Macaca fascicularis: one gene and its partner. The protein of the gene in region 1 purifies or fractionates together with the protein of each later gene. This does not show direct contact. Links are inferred from orthologs where the notes say so. Each region holds a gene or a part of one and is shown in the gene's direction. Other genes may lie near its edges.

What was found. The genes of interacting proteins can lie anywhere in the genome.
Region 2: the proteins of COPS5 (region 1) and JUN purify together in Homo sapiens (affinity purification with western blotting; 3 studies listed by BioGRID and IntAct, with this or other methods). This does not show direct contact. The link is inferred for Macaca fascicularis from reciprocal best matches to the Homo sapiens genes COPS5 and JUN.

The regions. Positions count from the first base shown.
Region 1 is NC_088382.1:77,028,808-77,039,783, reverse strand, and holds the end of COPS5 (COP9 signalosome complex subunit 5), read left to right. Parts: intron 1-1,662; coding exon 1,663-1,774; intron 1,775-4,319; exon of another isoform or gene 4,320-4,493; intron 4,494-6,183; coding exon 6,184-6,332; intron 6,333-8,857; coding exon 8,858-8,942; 3' UTR 8,943-9,096; downstream 9,097-10,976. UniProt on the Homo sapiens protein: Probable protease subunit of the COP9 signalosome complex (CSN), a complex involved in various cellular and developmental processes.
Region 2 is NC_088375.1:175,915,925-175,925,361, forward strand, and holds JUN (transcription factor Jun), read left to right. Parts: upstream 1-3,499; 5' UTR 3,500-4,477; coding exon 4,478-5,482; 3' UTR 5,483-6,238; downstream 6,239-9,437. UniProt on the Homo sapiens protein: Transcription factor that recognizes and binds to the AP-1 consensus motif 5'-TGA[GC]TCA-3'.

The DNA.
Region 1 (10,976 bases):
TTCTCTCCTGTAACATCTCCCAATGGTACTGCCACAGCCAGGCTTCTATAAAACACCCGTTTGACTGTATTATTACTCTACTCAAGTACCTTCCATTCTACTCAAGCACCTTCCAAGAGTCCCAGGTATCTACAGGATAAAGTTTAAATTTCTTTCTTTTTTTTTTTTTTAAAACAGAGTCTCGCTCTTGTGCAGGCTGTAGTGCAATGGCGCGATCTTCGCTCACTGCAACCTCCACCTCCTGGGTTCAAGTGATTCTTCTGCCTCTGCCTCCCAAAGTTTGGCCGGGTACTGTGGCTCCCAGCACTTTGGGAGGCCAAGGCAGGCAGATCACCTGAGGTTGGGAGTTCAAGACCAGCCTGACCAACATCGTGAAACCCCATCTCTACTAAAAATACAAAAATTAGCTGGGCGTGGTGGAGGGTGCCTGTAGTCCCAGCTACTTGGGAGGCTGAGGCAGGAGAATCGCTTGAACTCAGGAAGCAGAGGTTATGGTGAGCTGTGATCGCGCCATTGCACTCCAGCCTGGGCAACCAAGCAAGACTCCATCTCAAAAAAAAAAAAAAAAATGTTCTTAACCTTTTATGTAACATCCTTCACCACCTAGACCCCAGCATAGCTTTCTAGCTTCCCCTCACATAATTCTTCTCTTGCTAAATTTTCCAGCTAAACCCATTGCCTTATTATCCCTTACATGTCTTTCCTTTTCGTGTGTTGATGCTCTCTGCCTAATGCCCTCCTTGCTCTCCACATATCCGTACCATAGACTCAAAAATGGTTACCCTACACCTTGCCTTTTCCCTGAGGCTTCTCAGGCAGTTCTAGCTCCAAGTGATCACTTGAGCTCCTCTATATGAAGAATGCTTATTAATCTCTAACCTTTAGTTGGTAGGTGATTCATTTTATATAGCACTGTAGCATCACTTACTGTTATTCAATGTATATCTTCATATTTAATTTTTTTGTGGGTTTAGACCACATCCCCCATATAAATGTTGAGTTCCTTAAGGTAAAGATGTCTCTTATCCTTTTTTATATCCGTTGATACACGAAGCATGTGTAAGTTTAAGATGTAAGTTTACATCTTAAAAATACATATATTTTTCAGACATTTAACTAGATTTTTCCTTACTATGCCCTGATGATAAATTAGGCACCTTTGAAAGTGGGACCAATTACTTTGGATGCCTTAAGGACCTACCTTAAAATTTGCTTTTCAAAAAGCAGTAGGTCCTAACTGGGGAATTAGGAAGGGAATAATGGAATCCACATGTCATTTTTATTATTTAAAGAGACTAACAAAAATTATAGTTGACTCTAGAGAGGCAGCTCATTAAGTTTATGTGCTGTTGGCTTAATTTATGAACTCAGTAACAGGAATAAACTTGTCATTCAGAAGTTCTGACTGGTTGTTAATAACATTTTGGGAATTTCTGGGCTCTACAGAAAAAAAGGAATAAAACAAGAAGTTTAGTAGGAGATTTGGATCCACAACCCTTGAAGTGTGAGGAAACCATGGTTAGCTCTTGCCTCATTGGAATAAAAACTAAAACATGAATATTTGAGAATAAAGTGTAATTCACTTAAAACTAGCCATAACTTTTATGTGATGTAGTTGAATATTTTTTTTTACTTACTAAATTTTGTGCTTTTATTTCATAGATATTATGCCTTAGAAGTCTCATATTTTAAATCCTCTTTGGATCGCAAATTGCTCGAGCTGTTGTGGAATAAATATTGGGTGAATACGTTGAGTTCCTCTAGCTTGCTTACTGTAAGTACTATACTTGTAAGGAATGCATTTGAATTTTATCTAAGCTCCATAGACCTTTAATATCTCAAACACTGTTTCACAGAAAGGCTGTACCTGACTTGGCCAAGACACCAGGGCTAGGGTGGGATTCTGCACCACCAGAGCTGGATTAGGATGCTAGGCCAATTCAGGATCTGTGTCATGACTCACAGAGACCAAGTCTAAGTAGCAAATAGAGTGTCCAGATCAGGGTGAGATCTGCCCCTGCCATAAAGAGATTTACGGATAAAAAAAAAATACACATACTGATTTTTGTGTGTCAAGTGTCTCAGCTTGGACTCTTGATTACAAGTAACAGGATACCTAATGAAACTAGCTTAAACAAGAAAGGGAATTGTCTAAGTTGCAAAGTTGAGGAATAGGGCTTAACTCAGGCACAGCTAAGTTTGCATTCAAACAATATTATGAGGTCTTGGTTTTTTTTCTCTCTCTTAGCATTGATTTCATCTTAGTTACCACTACTTTTAGGCTTCATGTGAAAGCAAGACAGCAGCTTTAGCTTTAGACCTCCAAGCCTCTCAGTTTCATGTTCAAAGAGAAGATCAAGATACACACACACACACATACTCAAACACACACTCACATATTCCCAGGCAAAACTTCATTGTGTCTGACTGGCTTTACTTAATCACATACCTATCTTTAGGCCTGGTGTGGGCCAACTGAATAAGCTTGATGAGTGGCTAGGGCCACAGCAAGTGCTTTACTGCTGGGCCACATCGTAGAAAACTCCTTCAGGAGCTCAAGGACTAAAAATGGGTAAGGAGAGGTTCCCACAGGGAATCAGAATAGCATTACTTTAAAGCAGTAGATACTGGGAGACACATCGCAGTATATATCTATATAGTGGTTAGAACCACAGGATTTAGAATTAAATAAACTGGGTTTGGAGAATATGAGCTACAGCAGCAGGAGTCATAGCAGGACCAGCACTTAGAAGTTTCTTACGCTCTTTGATCGAGTATTGGTTGAAAGGAGTACAGCTGAAACTGTAACCAAAGGAGGCATTACACTTCCAGAAAAATCTTAAGGTAAAGCATTGCTAGCAACGGTAGTAGCTGTTGGATTGAGCTTTCAAGGAAAAGGTGGATTCAGCCAGTTAATGTGAAAGTTAGAGATAAAGAATTATTCTCCCAGAATATGGAGGCACCAAAGTAGAGAACTACTTTGCCACTCTTCAGGTTTATTCAGTTGACCTGGAAGGCCAAGGATTTGATTTTTTTTTTTTTTTTTTTTTTTTTTTTGAGACAGGGTCTCTGTCTGTTGTCCAGGCTAATGTGGTGGCACGATCTCAGCTCACTGCAGCCTCAACCTCCCAGGCTTGAGCGATCCTCCCACCTCAGCCTCCCAAGTAGCTGGTATTACAAGGGTGAGCCACCACACCTGGCTAATTTTTGTATCTTTTTGTGGAGACAGGGTTTTGCCATGTTGCCCAAGCTGGCTTCATGAACTCCTAGGTTTGAGCAATCTGCCCGCCTTGGCCTCCCAAAGTGCTAGCATTACAGGCTGTGAGCCACCATGCCTAGCCAGATTATTTCTTATTTAGAGATGCTGACATTCTTAGAAAGTATGTAGACTGAAGTAAATCACTATTGAAATGCCATCAACATGAAGCTGCTCATTGCACTTAAGTTCTGAAATATTTAATTATGTAAATTTCCATGTCTCTTCTATAATAAATGGTATCTATACTAAAAAATAAAATTGACTTTGAAAACAACTCTGTCACTTTACTAGTTCTGAGTGACTTTCAGAAAGTTATTTAATGTGACTAAGCATTTCTTTGTTGTGAAATGGTGATATACTACATACATCATTAAGTACTCTGAGAGAATTAAATGGGCTACTTTATATAAAGCAATTAGTAAAGTGTCTGGCATATAATAAAGCCTCAGTAAATGATTTTTTTTTAATTTGGTGCATTATATTCATGGGAAAAGACTTCACTTAAGCCTGTTATTTACTGGATTTTTTTTTAGGCTAGTCAAGTGAAGCAGTGTATTTACTGTTATTTTAAATACAACTCTGACAAGCTTTCTGTTCTTTTTTTTCTTTTTTCCTTTTTTTTTAAATTTTATTTTATTTTGAGACAGGATCTCACTCTGTTGCCCAGGCTGAAGTACAGTGGTACAATCACATCTCACTATAGCCTGGACCTCCTGGACTTAGGTGATTTTCCCACCTCAGCCTCCTGAGTAGCTGGGACTACAGGGATGTACACCACCATGCCTGACTAATTTTCTGTATTTTTTCATAGAGACAGGGTTTCACCATGTTGTCCAGGGTGGTCTGGAGCTCCTGGGCACAAGTCTTCTACCCACCTCGGCCTCACAAAGTGCTGGGATTACAGGCATGAGCCATGGCAACCAGCATTTGTTCTTATTTCTTATCTTTAGTAGTCAGAAGTAGCAAATTAGGATGGAGAATGATCATAATAGCAAATATGTGTTACATGCTTCCTATGTGCCAGACACTGCTAAGTGCTTTATATGTGTTGTTTCCTTAGAGGCAAGTATACTAATAGCAGCCAGAAGTGACACCTGATGGCAAGGGGAGAAAACACTGTAAGACCAGAGCAGTCTGAACCTTTGTATAAGGCAAGCAGATCTACCTACTCAGCCCAATGTCTGTCCCTGTATTCCAGCACTGCATAGATGAGGACATTAATAATCAAGAAAAGGTTAAATTACATTTCTGCCTTTTTTTTGTTTTATGTATAGTACATTGCAGCATTTTAAGAACAAATATGTAGACATATGTTCAACTTCTCTCTTCCCCCAGCTAAGGAAGTTCATTATAGCATGTAACCTAAGTTATTTTCTAATTTAAGAAATTAGTTTACTATATTCATTTTGTGTACATTTGAAATGTAATTGGATATCTTTTATTGTCATTTTAATAGTATAACTATTTCTGGTAGCCTATATTTTTATGGCTTAAATAGCTCTATAAACTTTAGGGTTTTTTCCAAGTCTGCGGGAGGAAAAACATACTGGTTTCCTAAACCATTTAGATCCAGACAAAATGAATATACTTGCATCTTTTAAAAATACTAAGTTTGTAAAAGTCACTGGAAGAACTGGTATGGCAGCAAATAACTTTTCTTGTTTGGTGACTGACTGTCTTTCCTTGCAAGCTGAGCAAATAGAATGACATGCTACTTTTTGCCAACTAGTTTATTTCCTCTTCACACTCTTCTATTGAAGATCTAGGAAAGAAATATAATGTATACTTAATAACTTTGTGAAATTTTTTTGTGTGTTTTAGACTACAATTAAAAAAGTATACCCCATAAAAATATTGGTAAAATATGTAATATTATAGTTTTTCAAATGTAGGTATACATGTAAGCATATAGCAATGCTCTGTAATTGTGGTTAAAGCTAAATGAAGAGATTATAAATGTGTTTGTTTTCTTCTTTATATTGCTCTACATTTTCCAAATTTTTTTGTATAATTATTAATTTTGTAACCAGAAAAGATTTTTTGTTTGTTTGTTTGTTTGTTTTTTAAAGACAGAGTTTTGCTCTTGTTGCCCAGGCTAGAGTACAATGGCACGATTTCGGCTCACTGCAACCTCCGCCTCCTGGGTTCAAGTGATTCTCCTGCCTCAGCCTCCCAAGTAGCTGGGATTACAGGCTCCTGCCACCACGCCCAGCTATTTTTTTTTGTATTTTTAGTAGAGATGGGGTTTCATCTTGTTGGCCAGGCTGGTCTCAAACTCCTGACCTCAGGTGATCCACCTGCCTCAGCCTCTCAAAATGCGGATTATAGGCATGAGCCACCGCGCCCGACCCAGAAAAGCTTTTAAAATGTTATTTTTATCAATATTGTCATAAGTACTAATTCTAAAAGTTCAACAAAAATAATAGCAAAATTAGCTAATATTACTAAGCCTTTACTAGGTGTCATGGACAGTGCCAAAAACTTTATATGCATTACTTCATTTAATTTTCACTGTAGCTCTAAGGTAGGAATTATCGACTCCCTTACCATTTTCAGAAGAGAACCTGGAGGCATACTTCAGGCCTTCAACTAATCTGCCATACTTCCAGAACTTGGACTTAGGTCTGTATACTTGACAGCCTCCCATAATAACAAATATTAGATTTAAGCAGTCAAGGAGAAAAATTCCAAGTAATCTTGAAATTATAAAAGGGAAAACATCTATCTACTCTTGAACTACCTGAATTTGGAAGCAGATTTGCAAATGTAATTTGATTTCTCTTCTCACTGACTATTCACTCAGATTTTATAGTGGAATTCTTTGCAAATGAAATATTCTTTGTAGGAAATTAGTTTACATTAAAATAGATTTTTTAAATGGTAGACTTATGTTTTGTAGTGACACAATACCATTTTCCCCACAGAATGCAGACTATACCACTGGTCAGGTCTTTGATTTGTCTGAAAAGTTAGAGCAGTCAGAAGCCCAGCTGGGACGAGGGAGTTTCATGCTGGGTTTGGAAACGCATGACAGAAAATCAGAAGACAAACTTGCCAAAGCTACGAGAGACAGGTAAGAGTAAATCTGTAAGATTCTTGTTGCCCCTAACTCTTTTTCTTTCAAAATTTGCAAACAATAGTAGGATTCAGATTCCTTATGGCTCAACTTAGTTACGACTTAGAACGGTACCTGAATATTAACTTCTTGGAAACTTTAGGAGCTGTCAGACACAAGTTTTAACTTTGAAAAATTTAGGATACATCAGGTAAGAACATTAAAAGGCTTAAATCAAAGATCTAAGCAGTGTTATGGAACACTCCCAGTCACCTTTTCTAAGTTCAACTAGAAAGTGTAACAAAACCAGCCCTTCAGTGGATCTTTAAAGTGTGTGTGTGTGTGTGTGTGTGTGTGTGTGTGTGTGTAAGTAACTAGGATTTCTTTTTTTTGAGACAGAGTCTTGCTCTGTCACCCAGGCTGGAGTACAGTGGTACAATGGTGTGATCTTGGCTCACTGCAACCTCCGCCTACTGGATGCAAGCAATTCTCCTGCCTCAGCCTCCTAGGTAACTGGGAATATAGGCACCCACCATCATGCTTGGCTAATTTTTTTGTATTTTTTGTAGAGATGGGGTTTCACCATGTTGGCCAGGCTGGTCTTGAACTCCTGACCTCAGGTGATCCACCCACCTGGGCCTCCCAAAGTGCTGGGATTACAGGCACGAACCACCGCGCCCAGCCAAAATTAGGATTTCTTAAATTTATAATATTTTAATATTCAATAAAGCTTTAAATCCTAAGATATTACGGAAGTGATTGTCTCTCTCTCAAATTGTGCTTCTAAAACAGTAATTTAGTATCCCAAATTTTACTACCAAAGATTTTATTAGGAACAAATTTGGGATATGTTCTCTAATAACTTATGAAATAATTATGTGGACCTTCAGATATATAGGCTATACAAAGTTGCATAGATTAACAACATTTACTTTCACAGAAATTTGAATTTTAGGCTGGGCACAGTGGCTCACACCTGTAATCCCAGCACTTTGGGAGGCCAAGGCGGGCAGATCACCTGAGGTCAGGAGTTCAAGACCAGCCTGGCCAACATGGTAAAAGCCCGTCTCTACTAAAAATACAAAAATTAGCCAGGCGTGGTGGCGGGCGCCTGTAATCCCAGCTACTCGGGAGGCCGTGGCAGGAGCATCGCCTCAACCCAGGAGGTGGAGATTGCAGTGAGCCAAGATGGCGCCATTTCACTCCAGCCTGGCCAACAAGAGTGAACCTCTGTCTCAAAAAAAGAAAGAAAGAAAAGAAATTTGAATTGTAATGCAATAATTAGGGGCAGAAAGGAAGGGAGAACTACATTGACTTCTATACACACTTACATGTTGGTATCTATTTTAAGAACTGGTTTGGTTTATAGGGAAAAGAGGAGAAAAGGGTCCCTGAAGTGTATCCTGGGATTGGAGGTCATTTTGGGTTAGCCTTATTTCACTGCCATCTACTCAGTGGGTTTTTAGAAGGTAGAGCTAGTGGCCTGCATAAAAGTTGCATTTTTCGGCTGGGCATGGTGACACATGCTTATAATACCAGCACTTTGGGAGGCCAAGGCAGGCATATTGCTTGAGCTCAAGAGTTCAAAACCAGCCTGGGCAACATGGCAAAACCCCATCTCTGCAAAAATTACGAAAAAAATTAGCTGGGCATGGTGGCACACATCTGTGGTTCCAGCTACTTAGGAGCCTGAGGCACAAGAATCACTGGAGCCTAGGAGGCAGAGGTTGCGGTGACCCATGATTGTGCCACTGCACTCCAGCCTGGGTGACAGAGTGAGACACTGTCTCCAAAAAAAAGTATTTTTCGTTGGCATTAGTTGTCATTTTAGATACTTGCTTTGAGTGTGTTTTGTTCCTCTGTCTTTATGTATGTAATTTATCAGTTTATCTACATTTATTTCTCAATGTCTTATGAAGCAAAAATTTTACTATGGCAATGTCTTCAATTATATAAGAAATAGAACAGAAGTAGTAATCAAAAGTAGAGTATTTTCCTTTTTGCGGTAGCTTTACAAGAATTGCATCTCTTCTGAATATTGATGGGGTTTTTTCATTGCTTTTTGCCTTATACTTTTTATCATTTCTAAAATCTAAGGCCTTCACCCGCTAATCTAACTTTGACTTCTAATTGTTGGAGGACAATTGCTTGTGATTATTTCAGGAAAAAAAATAGTATTCTTCAAAATTATTTTTCAAATTATCCCAAGTAATAAACAAGGAATAACAGATTATAATGTAATATAATATTGGAATCAATCTCTAATTACAGGTTTGTATAATTTTACTCACCTTCTAAAACAGAACAATTGTATCAAATTTTATGTGTCATTCTCTTGTGAAAGTTCTAGTAAGTAATGAAATGGTTAAAAAGACATGTGGAAGACTAATAAAATAACAAGGGAAAACTTCACATTGGGGTGGTTTGAGAAGTATGAATAAAACCAAACTCATTGGAGTTACATGGATGGATTGGGGCTGATCTTGTGTGTTTGAAATAGTTTTCAATTTATGACATCATGTGATGTGTGTTTTGTTTTCCAGCTGTAAAACTACCATAGAAGCTATCCATGGATTGATGTCTCAGGTTATTAAGGATAAACTGTTTAATCAAATTAACATCTCTTAAACGGTCTCTGAGAAGTACTTTACCTGAAAGACAGTATAAGAAAAATATTCAAGTAACACTTTAAAACCAGTTACCCAAAATCTGATTAGAAGTATAAGGTGCTCTGAAGTGTCCTAAATATTAACATCCTGTAATAAAACTCTTTAAAATGAAATTGTCCTTTCATTTTTTTGTGGGAAGATTCACAATATTTTTCTAGTATCCATTATGGTTCCTGAATATGAGAGAAAATATATTTATTAGAACTTTCTATTTTTAAGAGTTTAGACTAACTAAATTAGTCAAAGAATTTCAGCATTTCACTTGCCATACTGTCAGAACCACTTTTCAATTTGTCCCTTCTTTTGACTGTCTATAAGTAAAATATAATTTAACAGTTAATTATTTTAATAATGTAACAGGAACACTTTTAATGTTCCCACAAAACATTAGCTGAGTGGTACCATAAATTATTTTCCTGAAAATCAAATATTTATTAGAGACAGCCTAGCACAGGGTATCTAGTCCTTCACATATTCATCACATACCTTTCCTGAACAGGCGACTGTTACTCTCTGGAAATATGCTAAACAAGCTGGACATGGCCACTGTCCTCACAGAACTTCTGGAGGCTAAAGCTTAATTAACAAGAACTTAAAGATACTGCTATGAGGGGAGAAATAAAGTGTGTTGGGGACTCTTGAGGAGGAATGCATATCCTCAAGAGGGGTTGGCAGAGTTGGCTTCCTGAAGGATGTGGCCTGACCATTAAGTTGAAATATGAAAGGATTAGTCAGAAAGAGTAATAGGGAGGTGATTACTATTACAGGCAGGGAGTACAGCAGTATGTAGAAGCTCAGAGGTAGAAAGCAAGAACCTAGAACCTTCAAGGAAATGAGATTCAGTTAGACTTAAGATTGGTAAGTAGAGCCAAGCATGGTGACTCACACCTGTAACCCCAGCACTTTGGGAAGCTAAGGCAGGAGAATTGCTTGAGCTCAGCAATTCAAGACCAGCCTGGGTAAATGGCGAAATGCCATCTCTACTAAAAGTACAAAAAAATACCCAGGTGTGGTAGTACGTGCCTGTGGTCCCAACTACTTGGGAGGCTGAGGTGGGAAGACCACTTGAGCCAGTGGCAGGGGTTGGGGGTGCAGTGAGCCGTGATCGCACTACTGCACTCCAGCCTGGGTGACAGAGTGAGACCCTGTCTCAAAAAAATAAAAGATATACATATATATGTGTATGTATATATATACATACATATGTGAGTAGGACTTGGGGAGTGACGAGAGATGACTTCAGAGGTAGGACCAGGGTAGATCCTGCGGTGGTATTCTGGAGTGTATCCTCACAGCATTAGGGAGTTAGAGAGTTTTAAACAGAGCAAAAATGTACTGTATTGTCTTTTCTAAGAGCTTCCTGTTGAGAGATTTGGCAGTAAAGCCTAGATGACAGCAAATGAGATAACCCTTGGAGAATAAAGAATGAGAAGAGGGTCCAAGACTGAATCATGAAAACATCAGATATTTAAAATGGGCAGAGGAAGAGGAGACCACACGAGCCAAGGAGTAAGAAACCTTTAAAAATGAAGTTACAGCAGGGCACGGTGGCATGGCCCATAATACCAGCATTTTGGAAGGCTGAGGCGGGAGGGTCACTTGAGCCCAGCAGTTTAATACCAGCCTGGGCAACATAGCAAAACCATCTCTCTACAAAAAACATACAAAAATTAACCAGGCATGGTGGCATGCACCTGTGGTCCCAGCTACTTGGGAGGCTTAAGTGGGAGGATCACCTGAGCCCAGGAAGTTGAGGTGGCAGTGAGCCATAATCGCACCTCTGCACTCCAGCCTGGGCAACAGAGTGAGTCCCTGTCTCTAAATTAAATAATAGGAACTTACCAGTGACTTCACATGCTACAAATGGTCAAGGAAAAGAAAACATGAGTTTTGTTAGAGTTAGCAATGAGGCAGCTTTTGGTTAAGATGCGGAAGCCAATTAATATTAATATCCAAATACTTGGTTGCTGATATATTAACATTTTGATCTGTT
Region 2 (9,437 bases), on another chromosome or scaffold:
CAGGATAGCAGGAAAACAAAGAGATATGGCAAACCAAAGAAGTATATCTGGAAAAGAATTTTGTGGCTATTGGCACATGGAACACCTTATATCAGATAGATAAGAAGCCTACCTACACATATTCAATACTTAATGTCACTCTGCATCTCCCCAACTTTTAAAAGCTTCTTTAAAAGCATATTTTCCAATGCCTGCTTTAGCTGTGGAAAAGGAAGACTCTCCAAAGGCAAATCCAGGAATCATGGACAACAATGGACAGGGCAGCTTGGTGCTGTGACCACATGGCTCTTTAAGGTTGTCTCCCTTGAAAAAAGAACGAGGGAATTCCACCAGGGGAAGGAGAGAAGACCAAACATTTGGTGAACAGAAAGGGAGATAGAGTCTTTAGTGCTATTCCCCAAATATTCCTGGAGATCCCTTTGAGACACCTGGTAGGATTACAGTGACCTAAAGTTAGGCATGGCCATGTAACTCCTTTGGCCAATGATGTATGAGCAGAAGTGATGTGTGCCATTTCCAGGTGGATGCTCTGACAGCCATGATGTTCCGAGTTCCTTCCCCACAGACAGGATAGCCTTGAAAAGGGGTATCAAGACAAGGCCTCCTTGAGCCTGAGCCCTTGAGTGGCTACAATGAGCAGAGCTACCCTGCCAACCTACAATGGTCATGTAGCAGAAATGACAAACTTTCACTGGAATAAACCACTGATATGTTAGGGTTGTTTGTTACGGGAGCACAACACTGCCTTTCCTGACAGAACTGGGAGTGACAGATAAGGCTGGAGAGAGAAGTTAGATTGCGAAAAGCCCCTTCTCCCAGGCATAGGAATCGGAACACTCCTGGTTGTAAGGAAAAGCCAATGAAGGCTTCCAAGCAGGGGCATTAACATGAACAGATTTGTTATTTTTTTTGGATGAAATATGCTATTTCTCAACATAAGGAGAAGATCAGCCTACTAAACCACATGAGGCACAGAGGAACACACAGAACCCTTAGGTAAAAGATATATATTTATACAAAGTCCTAAGTCTTGAAATTTCTAAATACAGGAACTCTGAACGGAGTTATAGTCAGAGGATCAGGCAAGAAAATTTCTTTTATGCCACAAACGCTATTTCCTCTGCAGATAACTAATACTCCACAAGAAAGTTTGCCAGAGTAGAGAAAATACAAAGGAATGTAACACAGACCTGAGGTCAATTTCCAGGTGCATGTGTGTCCCAAACAAAGATACTTAACCTCTCTGGGCCTATTTCCTCACATGTTAAATCTGGTAATAATATATGTCTCTCAAGATGGTTGTGGGGAGAAAACAGCATACTTAAATTACTTAGGAGAATGCCTGGCAGATAAGTGTTTAATACATGAAACTTACTTTTATTACTGTTATAAAAAAATATTTAGAACACCAGCTCCCTGATTACAACAGAAAATTATTCAGGGCAACAGACAGAGGAGAATGTTCTCTCCTTGAGGAAGTAACTGGATCTTGTCATCACTGTAAACCTACCCCACCCCCTCCCCAGCTCAGCGCCTGGCTCACAGTAGGCTTTCAGTTACCCTCTGCAGATCAGTGAAAGCTAGGTGGGTGTACGGAGTGAAGAAAAGTTGGCAGGTTTCCCACTGATACCAGCTGCTGTTGGTTTCTGAACACTCAAAGCCGCAAATACCTTAGGGCTGGGGGCAATGAACCCTAGGCTGAATTCCAAGTTCAGAAACAGTGAGGTCTGAATTTAGAACCTAGGAACTTAAACTGCTGCAGGTCCAACTTCAAGCCCCAGTTCTAGACAGAGGCTTGGGAAAGAGCTGACTTCTAACCCTGTTCCCCCTCCCCTCCTCCCCTCGAAGCTTCTCACAGGAAAGTACACCTGGTCCTGCCAAATCGCACTCTTATATCCTGGCATCCTATCCAGGCTCTGCGAGGATGGAAACCGCGAGGCAGGGGAGGGAAGCGAGCTGTTTGGCCACCACCTCCCTAGTGCTGCAGGCGACCCTGTCACACTAACTCCCGGCAGCCCGGTGATGTGGACGGCACCGGCCCCACCTGCAGATGAGGGTAATGAAGCTCAGAGGAGTTCCGTGATTTGCTCGCTTCACACTGTTGCAGCCTGGCCACGAAAGAACAAGCATTCCCGACTTCGGGATTCTTTCCACCACACACTTTCGTCCCTAAGGGGTGGGGGGCGGGGGGAAGATAAAATAACAACCGCGGAAAAGGAACCACTTACATGTGTCTAGCGCTTCCTAGAGGCTACTCAGGATATGGGCCCACCACCCGGCCGGGAAGGTGGAGATTTGAAGTCCAGGTTCTACCCCGGGCTCCTGAGTTCTACTGCGTTACTTTATGCGAGTGTCCCCCGCCTTCTGAGCTTGTTTTCCCGGAAGCAACTCGGCGCGGGTGGAGAGTGTGTGCGTGTGTGTGTGTGTGTGTGCGCGCGCGCGCATGTTGTGCGTGTTGTGTTAAGCGTGTGTGTGTTGTCCGGGGGCGGGAAGGGGAGTAGACTAACACCGGGGTTCCCCGAGTTTCGGATCGCCTACACGCTTGTTCCCATCTGGACCCTGTTACCCACTAATTGCGCCCACTATAAAAACTGCCCCTCGGAGGCAAAGCTGTGATCCCCCGCGCCCTTTCCCCCACGGTCCCGGAGGATGAAGTGGGGTGCAACGGAGACTCAGCTGAGCGTCCAGTTTTGGGCAATACAAATCTCTCAGCTTCTAAGAGCAGCCAGACAACCCCGCGGACCATCGCTCCTGAACTTGACCGAGATGCAAACTTCGCAGCGTTTCTCAACGTGGGGGGCCGACTCTCGGGAGACCGCCCCCAAACTTAAGCCCCCTTAGGCTCGCCCCCAACTGGGACTTCACAGAGCCACCTTAAGGGCGGCGCTCCCGCCCCCCGGAAGTGCGGGGGGGCGGCGGACCTGGACTCTCAGCCTCCCGCCCCGCGCGGTGGCGGACGCCGGTGGATGACTTCGAGCCCCACAAGTGGGGAAACACAACCACCCCTCGCCCGCACCCTTGACCCAAAACAACTGGCCGGGTTCCCTGGCCTCCCGGGTCCCCGCATCCCCTGCATCCCAGTCCGCAGCCGTGAACTTGAGCCCCCTCCGTCAGATGTTGCGAGCGTCCGCCCGCTCGCGGCAGCCACCGTCACTAGACAGTCAAACCCCAAGACGTCAGCCCACAATGCACCGGGCGGGCCGGGAAAAACGGCCCGGGGAGGGGACCGGGGAAGAGAGGGCCGAGAGGCGTGCGGCAGGGGGGAGGGTAGGAGAAAGAAGGGCCCGACTGTAGGAGGGCAGCGGAGCATTACCTCATCCCGTGAGCCTCCGCGGGCCCAGAGAAGAATCTTCTAGGGTGGAGTCTCCATGGTGACGGGCGGGCCCGCCCCCCTGAGAGCGACGCGAGCCAATGGGAAGGCCTTGGGGTGACATCATGGGCTATTTTTAGGGGTTGACTGGTAGCAGATAAGTGTTGAGCTCGAGCTGGATAAGGGCTCAGAGTTGCACTGAGTGTGGCTGAAGCAGCGAGGCGGGAGTGGAGGTGCGCGGACTCAGGCAGGCAGACAGACACAACCAGCCAGCCAGGACGGCAGTATAGTCCGAACTGCAAATCTTATTTTCTTTTCCACCTTCTCTCCAACTGCCCAGAGCTAGCGCCTGTGGCTCCCGGGCTGGTGTTACGAGGAGTGCCCAGAGAGCCTGGTCTCCAGCCGCCCCCAGGAGGAGAGCCCTGCTGCCCAGGCGCTGTTGACAGCGGTGGCGAGCAGCGGTACCCACGCGCCCGCCGGGGGAAGTCGGCGAGCGACTGCAGCAGCAAAGAACTTTCTCGGCCCGGAGGGCCGGAGACAACTGGCCCAGAGTCCCGGAGCGAACTTTTGCAAGCCTTTCCTGCGTCTTAGGCTATTCGGCGGCGGTAAAGACCAGGAGGCGGCGGACAGCCACGCAAAAGAAGAAGGACGTGCGCTCAGCTTCGCTCGCACCGGTTGCTGAACTTGGGCGAGCGCGAGCCGCGGCTGCCGGGCGCCCCCTCCCCCTCGCAGCGGAGGAGGGGACAAGTCGTCGGAGTCTGGGCGGCCGAGACCCGCCGCTGGTCGGCCTCTGCGGGTCGGCACTGATCCGCGCCGCCGGGAGAGCCGCTGCTCTGGGAAGCGAGTTCGCCCGCGGACTCCAAGGAACGGCGGCGCCCGAAGAGCGCTCAGTGAGTGACCGCGACTTTTCAAAGCCGGGTAGCGCGCGCGCGAGTCGACAAGTAAGAGTGCGGGAGGCATCTTAATTAACCCTGCGCTCCCTGGAGCGAGCTGGTGAGGAGGGCGCAGCGGGGACGACAACCAGCGGGTGCGCGCGCTCTTAGAGAAACTTTCCCTGCCAAAGGCCCCGGGGGGCACGGGTGTCCCCCGCTTGCCAGAGCGCTGTTGCGGCCCCGAAACTTCAGCACGCAGCCCAAACTAACCTCACGTGAAGTGACGGACTGTTCTATGACTGCAAAGATGGAAACGACCTTCTATGATGATGCCCTCAACGCCTCGTTCCTCCCGTCCGAGAGCGGAGCTTATGGCTACAGTAACCCCAAGATCCTGAAACAGAGCATGACCCTGAACCTGGCCGACCCAGTGGGGAGCCTGAAGCCGCACCTCCGCGCCAAGAACTCGGACCTCCTCACCTCGCCCGACGTGGGGCTGCTCAAGCTGGCGTCGCCCGAGCTGGAGCGCCTGATAATCCAGTCCAGCAACGGGCACATCACCACCACGCCGACCCCCACCCAGTTCCTGTGCCCCAAGAACGTGACAGACGAGCAGGAGGGCTTCGCCGAGGGCTTCGTGCGCGCCCTGGCCGAACTGCACAGCCAGAACACGCTGCCCAGCGTCACGTCAGCGGCGCAGCCGGTCAGCGGGGCGGGCATGGTAGCTCCAGCGGTAGCCTCGGTGGCAGGGGGCAGCGGCAGCGGAGGCTTCAGCGCCAGCCTGCACAGCGAGCCGCCCGTCTACGCCAACCTCAGCAACTTCAACCCAGGCGCGCTGAGCAGCGGCGGCGGGGCGCCCTCCTACGGCGCGGCCGGCCTGGCCTTTCCCGCGCAACCCCAGCAGCAGCAGCCGCCGCCGCAGCCGCCGCACCACCTGCCCCAGCAGATGCCCGTGCAGCACCCGCGGCTGCAAGCCCTGAAGGAGGAGCCTCAGACAGTGCCCGAGATGCCTGGCGAGACGCCGCCCCTGTCCCCCATTGACATGGAGTCCCAGGAGCGGATCAAGGCGGAGAGGAAGCGTATGAGGAACCGCATTGCTGCCTCCAAGTGCCGAAAAAGGAAGCTGGAGAGAATCGCCCGGCTGGAGGAAAAAGTGAAAACCTTGAAAGCTCAGAACTCGGAGCTGGCGTCCACGGCCAACATGCTCAGGGAACAGGTGGCACAGCTTAAACAGAAAGTCATGAACCACGTTAACAGTGGGTGCCAACTCATGCTAACGCAGCAGTTGCAAACATTTTGAAGAGAGACTGTTGGGGGCTGAGGGGCAACGGAGAAAAAAAATAACACAGAGAGACAGACTTGAAAACTTGACAAGTTGCGACGGAGAGAAAAAAGAAGTGTCCGAGAACTAAAGCCAAGGGTATCCAAGTTGGACTGGGTTGCGTCCTGACGGCGCCCCCAGTGTGCACGAGTGGGAAGGACTTGGCGCGCCCTCCCTTGGCGTGGAGCCAGGGAGCGGCCGCCTGCGGGCTGCCCCGCTTTGCGGACGGGCTGTCCCCGCGCGGACGGAACGTTGGACTTTTCGTTAACATTGACCAAGAACTGCATGGACCTAACATTCGATCTCATTCAGTATTAAAGGGGGGAGGGGGAGGGGGTTACAAACTGCAATAGAGACTGTAGATTGCTTCTGTAGTACTCATTAAGAACACAAAGCGGGGGGGAGGGCTGGGGAGGGGCGGCAGGAGGGAGGTTTGTGAGAGCGAGGCTGAGCCTACAGATGAACTCTTTCTGGCCTGCCTTCGTTAACTGTGTATGTACATATATATATTTTTTAATTTGATGAAAGCTGATTACTGTCAATAAACAGCTTCATGCCTTTGTAAGTTATTTCTTGTTTGTTTGTTTGGGTGTCCTGCCCAGTGTTGTTTGTAAATAAGAGATTTGGAGCACTCTGAGTTTACCATTTGTAATAAAGTATATAATTTTTTTATGTTTTGTTTCTGAAAATTCCAGAAAGGATATTTAAGAAAATACAATAAACTATTGAAAAGTACTCCCCTAACCTCTTTTCTGCATCATCTATAGATACTAGCTATCTAGGTGGAGTTGAAAGAGTTAAGAATGTCAATTAAAATCACTCTCAGTGCTTCTTACTATCAAGCAGTAAAAACTGTTCTCTATTAGACTTTAGAAATAAATGTTCCTGATGTACCTGCTTCTATGGTCAGGTTATACTCTTCTTCCCCCAGCTATCTATATGGAATTGCTTACCAAAGGATAGTGCGATGTTTCAGGAGGCTGGAGGAAGGGGGGGAGTGTGTTGCAGTGGAGAGGGACAGCCCACTGGGAAGTCAAACATTTCAAAGTTTGGGATTGTATCAAGTGGCATGTGCTGTGACCATTTATAATGTTAGTAGAAATTTAACAATAGATGCTTATTCTCAAAGCAGGAATTGGTGGCAGATTTTACAAAAGATGTATCCTTCCAATTTGGAATCTTCTCTTTGACAATTCCTAGATTAAAAGATGGCCTTTGCTTATGAATATTTATAACAGCATTCTTGTCACAATAAATGTATTCAAATACCAATAACAGATCTTGAATTGCTTCCCTTTACTACTTTTTTCTTCCCAAGTAATATACTGAAGCTTTTATTTTTAGTTGCTGAGGTTAACATTGCTGCAATCTGAAGTGACTTGAAAATTAAGAAGCAAAGAATTTAGGAAGAGTCAAACTGGAAGTTGTGATCTGAATGAAACAGTCTCCCAATTTTATTAATTCCCTCCTCTCTACTACCACCCTTTACCCCCAAATAAATACCTATGTCTAAGGAAACTAGCAGTTTAGCATTTTGGATCTGTCTATAGTTTATTTCTTAATTTGTTTCTCAAATAATCAACCTTGTTTAAGTAATTATAGAATCAGTCTCAAAAGATAGTAATCTAATACTATGGAAAAGATTCGCAAGAGAAAACATGAACACCAACTCAATGATTACATGCATAAATCAAACCTCAGCTCTAGGGAAATGGGAAACTTAAATTCTGACTACAGATGTAACTTAGGAGATCAACAAGGCAGTGCTCAACAAGGGAACAATTTTTTGCTTGGTTGCTTTTCATCCCAAGAGCCAGTGTGATTATCAGGCAGCAAAAGCAATTTGATATCCAGGAATATTTCACAAACCACTAATTGAGGCAGGGCTGTTTGCTCATTAGCAATGTTCTAGTACCCAATAGGTCTGGGAGTGCTAATATCCTGCCTGTGGCTGTAAATCCAAATACACAGAGTTTCTCCTTAGGAGTATCTCTAGGAGTGGAAGAGATTGGACAGGCTTGTTAGCTTCGGGTATACTCTCCCTTGTAATAACACTTCTTGAACAAAGGGTTACTGGGAGCAGAGCCCGGTTTGCCAAACTGAATTTGCCGATGTCAGCAACCCGGAAGGTGAGATGATTTTGACCATATGTAGAAATAGCAGAGGGACAATAAAGCACTTTGGGGTGGGGCTCTGTGGAAGCTAAACAAGAGCCAACTAGAAAAAATAAGCAGGCTGGGGAATTAATTACCTGCAAAGGTAGACTAAGCCCAGACAACAGTACAGCACAGAAAAGCCACACCACTCCCCAGTTTGCTTTAGATTTCAGTGTTTAAAAAAAAAAAAAAAAAAAAGTCTGAAACTCAGGCCTATCCCCATGCCTGATTGTTTCAATTAACATTCTAAATGTATAGTCTTGAAATTCTAACCATTCTAACCAAAAGGGGTGGAAATAAATAATTGTGGTAGAGGAAATTAACCATGATCTCTGGTAAATTTTGGAGACAAAAGATTAACTGCTTATAAACACTTAATGGTTAACTTCATTATGGGCCTTCAATGAGTTAATCTTTAGGTAACACTAATAGTTGGAGCAGATGAAGCTAGTGACACATAGTTATTAATCCTCTTAATTTGTTTTACACATATATGTTACATATATAAAATAATTCAATCAGGGACATAACCCTCTGTGTCTATCAAGACAGAGAGTTCATGAACTCAATGAAAATGCCCAGAAAGTTGTGTGTGTGTGTCTGTACACACTCTTCTGAGGAGAGAGATTATTGCTTTTATTTGACCCTCCCAGAGTTCCATGACTCAAAAAAAAAAAAAAAAAAAAAAAAGTTGATAAACCACGAACCGACCAGCTTACATGCCCACTATCAGAAACATATCTTTGTATGAATCTAAATCCCTTGCTTTTTCACCCCTTCATGTTTCTGCTTGCATGTATTTGCCTGGAATACCTTTCCTTCTAGTTCAACTGATAAATCCTACCCATTCTTCAAGTCTTGGCGTAAGTGACACCTTCTCTGTAAAGCTTCTGTTGGTAACTCCATCTTCAAAGGGAATTAATAATTCCCTAGTGAGCATGATAACATTTCATGAAAAATCCTATGATAGCACTTACCAAAATGTGTTATGAACCTCTGTGTCTCCCGGTCAGAACCCTATCCTCTTCATCAATGGACTCCCAAACTTCTAATGCAGCGCCTAGCATATAGTAGATGTTCATGAAATAAACGTTTGATGACTGAAAGAACAAGTGAGCTCAAACCCTCCTCCAACATAATTCCAAGTCTCAGTTTCTTCTCGTAAATATACTTCATTCATTTCCAGGTGCATAACTCGCGATGGATCAACCTTCACCTCCTCAAAGTCAAACCTGGCCAACCCTCAAGTTCTAAAGCCTAGTTCTTAGTGAGTGTTCTTAAAAGAATTAAACTATTAACACATTCATACATCCAGCCACACACAGTGTCCCTTCCTGCCTCCACTAATACAAGTGGGCATCTGCTTACATTAAATGGGTCTGCCTGAAACATTAGTTTTAAAGGTAGAAATGAAGGAGGATAGTAATTGTGTCCTTGGGCAGGCACAAAAACAGTTCCAGATGTGTCTTCATTAAACACAACCAGCTTTATTGGTAATGACAGAGGGGACTTTCTGTTAGTAAAGTTAGACATATTTCAGGGGTCCAGAAATTAGTACCCAATGTTTGCTTGCTGAGACAGGAATCATGCTAATCCATCTATTCCTCCATGTCATTTCATTACTAGAGAAGTGCATTGGTTGAACCAAGGAAAGAGACCACGACTTCTAGTTTGATTGCCCCTTGCCTCCTCCACCTACCTCTATGGTGGTCAAGTAGGATCTCATAGAAGAGAGGAAGAGGGTTAGAAGCTGGGATGGCCCCAGAAGGTAAAACTAT